Linked DNA regions of Ovis aries. The protein of the gene in region 1 interacts with the protein of each later gene in a pairwise test. Links are inferred from orthologs where the notes say so. Each region holds a gene or a part of one and is shown on either strand. Other genes may lie near its edges.

Evidence for each region.
Region 2: the proteins of ARR3 (region 1) and GNMT interact in a two-hybrid assay, tested with the Homo sapiens proteins (2 studies listed by BioGRID and IntAct). The two-hybrid records come from large-scale screens. The link is inferred for Ovis aries from reciprocal best matches to the Homo sapiens genes ARR3 and GNMT.

What each region holds. Positions count from the first base shown.
Region 1 is NC_056080.1:63,161,605-63,165,867, forward strand, and holds part of ARR3 (arrestin-C), read left to right. Parts: intron 1-2,874; coding exon 2,875-3,074; intron 3,075-3,195; coding exon 3,196-3,255; intron 3,256-3,414; coding exon 3,415-3,482; intron 3,483-4,128; coding exon 4,129-4,263. UniProt on the Homo sapiens protein: May play a role in an as yet undefined retina-specific signal transduction. Could bind to photoactivated-phosphorylated red/green opsins.
Region 2 is NC_056073.1:16,602,866-16,607,571, reverse strand, and holds the start of GNMT (glycine N-methyltransferase), read right to left. Parts: upstream 3,362-4,706; 5' UTR 3,334-3,361; coding exon 3,128-3,333; intron 1,662-3,127; coding exon 1,534-1,661; intron 899-1,533; coding exon 782-898; intron 652-781; coding exon 509-651; intron 404-508; coding exon 282-403; intron 187-281; coding exon 15-186; 3' UTR 1-14. UniProt on the Homo sapiens protein: Catalyzes the methylation of glycine by using S-adenosylmethionine (AdoMet) to form N-methylglycine (sarcosine) with the concomitant production of S-adenosylhomocysteine (AdoHcy), a reaction regulated by the binding of 5-methyltetrahydrofolate.

The DNA.
Region 1 (4,263 bases):
CTAAAACAAGCTATTTCTTAACACAAAAAAAGGATGATTGTAAACTGTCAGAGAATCAATAAGATCTTGGGGGTGGGGTGATGCCCTTCCCACCACATACACAGTGGGATGTGACAAGAACAATTCATCTGATTAACACACCCTGAGCTCAGGGGCTATTAGATACCCTTTTGCCTGGCCCCTCCTCTTTTTCTGATTTCTCTTCTCTTTGACTTCATCCCTTCCCTTGCTTCCTTCCAGCCACCTCTTTTCCTCATCTTCTCTCTTTTTTTCTTTCCTTTGCTCCCTCTTTCCTTTTCCTATTCTTGCTCTCCCTTTTCCCACTTTTTTTGGCATAACTGGGAAACCAAGATGAATTTAATTTATTGTATCTTTTGAAAATTGTTAAGTTTGTCTTCATGTAGAAACATTAGAAAAGTACAGATGAAGGAGAAAGACTGTAATCCTCTCACCCAGAGATAATCACAAATATTTCAGTTCACATTTATTCATATTTTCTGTGTAAAAATATCTATATTTTTATTTTAAATGCTATATTATACATAATACTTTCTAATCTTCTTTTTTGGCTATGCAATATGTAAAAATCTATAAAATTTTTAGTTGCCTAGTACTATATTGTATGAGTGCACCATAATATATTTTCACCAACTTTAACCACTGGACATTTTTTGCTATGACAACCCCATAAAGTACATGCTTGTATGTATTTTTTTTCATACTTGTCTAATTATTTCTTTAGACTAAATGCCTGGAAAAGGAATGAATGGCCAAAGGGTAGTCACACATTTTTAAAGCTTTCTATCGCCAAATTGCCCTTCAAAATGGCTGTACCAATTAACTCTCCCTTGTGCAGGGTATCCTGGAGAAGGAAATGGCAACCCACTCCAGTATTCTTGCTTCGAAAATCCCATGGACGGAGGAGCCTGGTGGGTCGCCTGGGGCCGCAAAGAGTCGGACATGACTGAGCGACTTCACTTTCGTGCAGGGCATGAGGCTGCCCATTGTCCCAGTCATTATAAGCACTACCATTACCGCTACTTTCAGTCTTTGTTGTATCTTTTGAAAATAGATTCATTTGCTTTGCTTGTTTGTAATTTTAAAAGCAGATAATCTGGCTGTTGTATATTTTGATTTCTTAAAAATACAAAAATAGGTTGGTTTCTACTAGTGTGTGGCTCTTGGTAGTTTTCTTTTCTTTGGGTCAGGGCTCCTGATAAGATTCTTGACCCCTATTCCATTTTTTCCCCAACCCCTGTTGTAAATCTTTCCTTCCCTCAGTCTCTGTCACTATCCTTGGAAAGATATCTTTCTGTACCCTATCCCACACTCCACTAGTGCACGAAGTAGCTTTCTATTTGTCCCAATAATCTTAGGTACTAGCTGTAATGCATAAGTTCAATTATTATTGTTCCATTTCTCTAATATTCCCATGATGATCATCATCATCCACATCTATAATTTAAATTTCCACAGGGATTTCTCATACATCACCTCCTTAAAACCATCCTGTGAGTTAAGTTGGGCATATGAGTCTAGGCTTTAGTCATGTCTGAGTTAAAATCCTGGGCTGTCATTTAGCTACTCTGAGCTCATTTTCTCTACCTATAAAACAGAGATAATAACTGTAGAGCTCTTCTGCAGTCCTATTATTGACAGGTGAAATAACTGAGGCTCAGACAACACAAGGGATTTCTACAAGTCGTATGCAAACCTAGGTTCTGACCCTAGAATTACACAATGAATATCCTGTGCCCATCACCTAGTTTTTTTTTTTTTCATCACCTAGTTTTAAAAAGAATTACAGAAACCAACTGAAGTCTCCTGTGTATCCTTCCCTAATCCCATACTCCTTCCTCCCTCCCTCCTTTCCTTCCTGCCTCTACCTCGGGTAATAACTATTCTAAATTTGATATTTATTGTTCCATGATGTTTCTATACTTCTAACTTTATATATCAATGAGCAAATTTGGTATTGTTCTACATGCTTTTCAACTTTATATACATGGTATGATTGTGCATATCATCCTTCCTTTACTCAACATCTGAGACTCAACCATGCTAATACATGGAGTTCATTATTTTAATCTCAGTTTAATATTCCATGATATGAATATACCATAACTGTTTACCCACTCTCCCATTGATAGGTATTTAAATCATTTCCAGTTTTATGCTATGACAAACACTGACGCCATGGACATTTTATATGTTTCTCCTTATAGACAAGAGCAAGAGTTCCACTAGATTCTTATTTCATAAGATATGAGCAGATTCCACTTTATTGGACAGTGCCCAACAGTTTTCTAAAGTGGCTGTACAAACATATACTCCCACCACAGTACGTAATCAATTGTTTCACATCTGGAGCATTGTTCAACATTTAGTGCTGTCAGACTTAAAAATTTTTGACAGTCTGAGGAGGCAGAAATGTTATCTCATTGTGGCTTTAATTTGCATTTATCTGATTACTAATAAGACTGGACATGTTTTCATACTTCATTGGCCATTCCACTCCACGCTTCTGTGTAGAGCCTATTCATGCATTTTGCACACTTTTATATTGGAATGTTTGTATTTTTATTACTGATTTGTGGGAATTTTTTTAGATACTATGAACACTAAACTTTTGTTACAGGTGTTGCAAATATTTCCTCAGGCTTTTGCTTGTTTCATTATTTATAAAGATTCTTAATGTAAAGAAGTTTTAAATTTTACTGTAGTCAAATGTGTTAATCCTTTTCTTTATGGCTATACTGGTTTGATAATGTTACATTGTTTCTCTATGTCTTCCTCTGAGCTTCTTCTGATGCTGTTAAGATCTCCTTTCCCCCTCAGACCTGACAGGTCACTCTCTTGTTCCTTTGCCTGCAGTGTTTGTCATGTTGACCTGTGCCTTTCGCTATGGCCATGATGACTTGGATGTGATTGGTCTGACATTCCGCAAAGATCTGTACGTACAGGTCCAGCAAGTGGTCCCAGCTGAGCCCAGCAGCCCCCGGGGCCCCCTCACAGTCCTGCAGGAGCGACTGCTGCACAAGCTGGGGGACAATGCCTACCCCTTTACCCTGCAGGTACTGACCCCAAGCCCTAGGTAAGGCTTCTAGGGAAGATTAAGAGAGAAAGCTTAACAAAGAGGATAGAGTAAAGGGGTCCCTATTTCTTCTGTTTGCCGACCTCCTTCTGATCCTTTAGATGGTTGTCAACCTGCCCTGTTCGGTGACACTGCAGCCAGGTCCTGATGATACAGGAAAGGTGAGGTCTGGGTTCTCAAAAAGGTGGACAGAGGGATAAATGGACAAGACTGGAGAAAGGGACAGCTAATGGGTGGGATCAGACATTTCCTTATAAACCCATGAGGAAGGGAGTGGGCAGTGTCAGAAATGAGTTCTCTTTGCCTCTGCCCCTTTGCAGGCCTGCGGTGTTGACTTTGAAGTGAGGAGTTTCTGTGCTGAAAACCTGGAGGAGAAAGTCTCCAAGAGGTGTTTCTGTGGTCAACTTCAAAATCCCTGCCTCTAGCCTGCACCAGGAAACAGATCTTGCTCTCAGGACAGAAACGTCCTTACTTCTAACCTGTGTAGCAGCATCACCACCAGTTCAGATGCCCATTTCTGATTTCCCTCTAATTTCTCTTCTTTGCTCTAGAGCATGGGTCAGCAAATTCTTCTGTCAAAGGCCAGACAAGAAATAATTAGGCTTTGTGAACAATGTACTTCCTGTTGCACCTACTGAACTGTGCCACTGTAGCATGAAAACAGCCATGGGCAGTACGTAAATGAACAAGCATGGCTGCGTTCCAGTACTTTATGAACATTGAAATTTGAATTTTATATAATTTCCACATGTCATGAAATATTGTTCTTTGATTTTTTTCAACCACTTGAAAATGTAATGACCATTTTTAGCTTGCAGGCCACACAGACACAAGCAGCAGACCAGACTTAGCCAGTGAGCCATAGTTTGCTGACCTATGGTCTAGATACCTACCTTGAGGGTCCAGAGGCATTCTCTGAGGGAAACCTTCTACCACCTCCACCACCCAAGCGAGGACTGGGCTATAGGTTTGGCACAAGAAAGGTCTGTGGGTCCTAAGGAGATGTTCTGGCTGTCCCCTTGGCCTCTACTTAGAGACTCTGTGCGGCTGGTGATTCGGAAAATACAGTTTGCTCCCCTGGAACCAGGCCCTGGCCCCTGGGCCCAGACTGTGCGCCGCTTCCTCCTGTCAGCTCAGCCCCTACAACTCCAGGCCTGGATGGACAAGGA
Region 2 (4,706 bases), on another chromosome or scaffold:
AGCCAAGGCCTCGCTCAGGCCATCTTCTTGAGCACGTGGATGAAATAGCAAGGAACGTAGGCCTGGCCCGGCTTGTAAGGTTTGAAGTCGCCCAGGACGCTGTGCTGGCACTTGCCCCCGAAGGCTGTTCGAAGCAACTCCGTGAAGGATGCCAGGCAGTGAGGGTAGTAGGAGAGCCGGAACTTACTGCAGCAGAGCCCCAGACCTGCCGTGAGGACTGGTGGTCTTGGCACCCTCCCCCACGCCCACCCCAGCCCCACCCCCGCTCGCCAAGTCAGTACCTCAAGCCAGGAGACCCGCTCTGGCCAGCCCCGGGCACCTGCACCGTGTAATCCAGAGTCACCATGTGGGCCTTGTTGTTCACGGTCAGCACTGACGTCGTGATGTCCTTGGTCAGGTCACTCTGCAGGCAGGGTTGCCAGCTGTGTCAACCTCTGCAACTACCATGAGGCCAGGACCCCAGGACCACACCTCCCGCCCTGGGCCTGCCCTCCCCAGGGGGCCCCACCTTATAGTAGATGTTTTTTCCTGGGGGTGCGCACCCCGTGCGGAGGATGTGGTCGTAGTTGCGATGATCAATGACCAGCACGCCTCCCGACCGCACCATGCTTGCGATGTTCCTCAGGGCCAGCCGGTGCTCACTCTGGTCTCCTGAACCAGGTGGGGACAGAGACACTGCGTCTGCTCAGGGCCCCCAGCACCAGTCTCTGTCCCGTCTTTTTCCTCTGGAAAGGGTATAGTTCAAGGCAGGTTCCACTCCCCAGGCCACACCCTCTCTCACCTTTGCAGTCTGGCAAGTGGGCAAAACTGTTTCCAAGGCAGATGACAGCATCGAAGCCACCCCCTGGTGGTTGGGGCACGTCTTTGTCCAGAGTCATCCAGTTAGCTTCTTCAATGACTGGGGGCCAGGGAGGGGAAGAGGGATCAGGGTGGCACCCACCTCCATCAAGGGCAGTCCTGCCTCAGTTTCCCCTTCAAGACACACATAGGGACTCCCCATCCAGTCAGGGGAGGGCATCATTATGGACATGGAGGGTGAAGGGGACCAGGGACCCGGGGAGGAGGAAACCATGGTTGGGAAGGAGGGCTCTGTGTTTATGGGTTTTTACTGGGGGGCACAGGACACTGCCCACCGTCCAGGACAAGCCCCCTGTCCAAGATGGGCTTCCTGGTGGCCCAGTCGGTAAAAAAAATCTGCCACCAATGTGGAAAACCTGGGTTCGATCCCAGGGTTGGGAAGATCCCCTGGAGAAGGGAATGGCTACCCACACCAGTATTCTGGCCTGGAGAATTCCATGGACTGTATAGTCCATGGGGTCGCAAACAGTCAAACACGACTGAGTGACTTTCACAGGACACTATAAACATAATTAAAACTAGCTCCTCATTCTCAGTACCTCCTTCTGGTGTGTAAGCCTCCCTTTTCAGGGAAATGACAGTGATTTCCTTCTTTGAGGAAAACAGCTCCCCACCACAACTGATAAAGGAGCCCAGGGTAGAGAGAAGTGAGGGCACCTGGCTGGATCCACGTACCCCACTTGTCAAAGGCAGGGTCGTGCCTCCGGTTCCAGCGCTCCTTGAGAGCATACTTTAGCATCTTGTCACTGGCATCCACGCTTGTCACGTTGAAGCCCTCTTCCACCAGCATGATGGAGTCCACCCTGGGCAGGACCAGGAATGACAGTCAGAGAGGGGCAGTCAGGGAGGCCTGGAGAGGCAAAGAGGAGGCCCTGTGCTGAACACTCCTGTCTCCCCCACTCTTCAGAGTCCACCCCTCTGTTTCCTGTCCCCAGGCTCTCTCCGCTGACCTCAAGTGACCTGGCAAATCTGTTTCTTATCACCCGGTGGTAACTTTTCTTTTTTGTTTCTCAGCACCACGTCAGGTATTGTACAAATGGGCGTTAATCCTTACGGCAATCCAGGGACTTCCCTGGTGCTTCAGTGGCTAAGACTCTGCACTCCCAATGCAGGGGGCCCAGGTTGGATCCCTGGTAGGGAAACTAAGATCCCACATACTGCAGCAAGAGAAGTCTGTGCCCCACAATGAAGACTTGGTACATACAGCAAAATAAGTAGTTAAAACTCACGGCAATCCAGTAAGGTAGGTGGTGGTATCCCTATTTGAGAGGTGGGGCAAACTGAAGCTCCTGCAAGCTAAGTAACTTGAGCACAGGAGGTAGTGTTGCATAGTGGGTTTTTTTCTTTTTGTTTTTGGCAGTCCCATGAGGCTTGCAGGATCTCAGTTCTCCCACCAGCTATTGAACCCAGGGCCCTGGGCAGTGAAACCTCAGAATCCTAACCATTAGACCACCAGGGAACTGCCAGATGGTGGTTCAGAGCACAAGCCAGGCCTTAACCAACCTGGGTCCACATCTTCCTTCCACCTTTACCTCTCTGAGGCCAAATTTCTGCAACCGTAAATAGCTATCACTACTCTTGTAGCTCAGCCCGTAAAGAATCTGCCTGCAGTGCAGGAGACCTGGGTTCAATCCCTGGGCTGGGAAGATTCCCTGGAGAAGGAAATGGCAACCCACTCCTGTCCTTGGCCTGGAAAATCTCATGGACAGAGGAGCCTGGTGGGCTGCAGTTCATGGGGTCGCAAAGAGACGGGCACGACTGAGCGACTAACACACACACACACACACACACTTACCTCATGAGGTTTTGTAAGGATTTTAAAAACTGATGTGTCAGAAACACCTGGCACAATGCTTTGGCAGAGGCACATCACGTTGAACAAGTGTTAAGTGTGAACGCTGCCGCTGGAGCGGGGTTCGACCTTATGTGAGGCTAGTCCCAAAACCCGGGCCTTGGGCCACCGCCCTGGCGAACCCGCCTTCCCCATCCGCTGTGCCCACACCCTCGCTCTCATCCTGGGTCTCCTCGGCCCCGTCCTGCCCGTTCTGCCTGGGCAAACACACATTCCCCGCCCTGGCGTCGCGCCCCAGCCCCGGCTCCCGGGTCGGCGGAGGAGGCTGCCCCGACGTGCCCGCCCGTGGTCCGCAGCCCGGCTGCCCGTGCCAAGCCGACCCCATCCGCTCGGTGCCCGGGTTTTCCGCTCACCCGGGTCCCCTGCTCGCCCCCCGCTCGCGCTCACTGCGGTCCCCGGGGCCCCTCCCGCGCTCACCCGGTGCCGCAGGCCACGTCGAGCACCCGCTGGCAGCCGTGCTGGCGCAGCAGCCCGAGCAGCCAGGCCTTGTACTCCGCGGTGCGGCTGCTGGTGTCCCCGATGTAGAGCTGCCACACGCGCGCCGCCTCTCCGTCCGCGTACTGGTCCGGGAGCCCTTCAGCCGCCACCCCCAGGGAGCGGGTCCGGTACACGCTGTCCACCATCCTGCGACGCGCCTGGCCCCGCCGCCGCGGCCCCCGGCTCCGGCTCCGCGTTTATAACGCGGCCCCTGCCAGAGCGCCGGCCGCCCCACCTGCCCAATGGCAGGTGAGCGCGCGGACACGCCCCTGCCGGCTCCCGGCCCCGCGCCGCCGGGAGGGCGCGGCCTGGCAATCCTGGACTGGCCCTACCTGCCTGCCAGAAGATCCGGCCCTCCGGACCGTCCCTCGGCGGGAAAGGACCCTCCCAAGGCCCCGGCCCACTCAACCCAGGTCGCTGGAGGGCCAGGGAAGCGGGGCAGGAGAAGGGCAGCAATGAGAATGCCCACTCCACCCCCGCCCCAGGCTGGAAAGGAATTTGAGTCCGCAGAGAGGAGCGCCCAGGGCTGAACCGTTCGTAGCAGAGCGGGAGAAAGGTATTAGCATATCTAAAGAAGGACTGTCCAGCTGAATGAGGGCCTACTCAGCTAGGGAAGGAAGGAAGGGGGATAATGCTGGCTTGGCCATTCAAGTCCAGGAGCGGCTCTGGCTCAATTCCACCCAGCTGGGGGCAGGTGCTCCTCTATCCTGTAGCTGAGGCATCAAGCCTTTTTAAAGGCCTCAGATGCAGTTTGGTTCAAATTCCTCTCCAACCACACGCTCTTCTAAAGACCAACTACTTTCCACGGAGGTGCCCACAGAGTGGTAAGTCCAGGGTCAAGGCTGGGAGTGTCCAGTGCTCTTGCTATCACGTTGTTCATTGTCATTTCATAAATTGGTCTTTTGCCTTGATTAGTGTACATCCACCCTTCCTTCCCAAAGCAGGTCTCTTCCTGGGACAAGACCCTGCACTGAGATGGATGGTGCCCAGAAAAATGATGCTACCCAGGGAACCCCAAGACGGCAAGAACAGCCTTCCCTACCTGTCTTTATTCTGGCTTCAGAAAGAGCCAGGATGGGGCTTCTAACCCTAGTGATTAAGAATCCACCTTGCAATGCAAGGGACACTGGTTCAATCTCTGATCTGAGAAGACCCCACATGCCTCAAGGCAACTAAGCCCTGGGCCGTGTTGTAGCCACCTGTTCCGCATTCCGGGGAAACAAACTCAGAAGGACAATGCAGAGAGTGGTGAGTGAGTTAAAGTTGTTCAGTAGTGTCCGACTCTCTGCAACCCTGTAGACTATACAGTCCATAGAATTCTCCAGGCCAGAATACTGGAGTGGGTAGCCTTTCCCTTCTCCAGGGGATCTTCCCAACCCAGGGATTGAACCCAGGTCTCCCGCATTGCAGGCAGATTCTTTACCAGCTGAGCTATCAGAGAAGCCCGCAGAGAGTGGAGTGCAGTTTATTACACCGGCAGGGCCAAGGCAGAGTCTCCCCTTAGTCAAGGACCCCGACT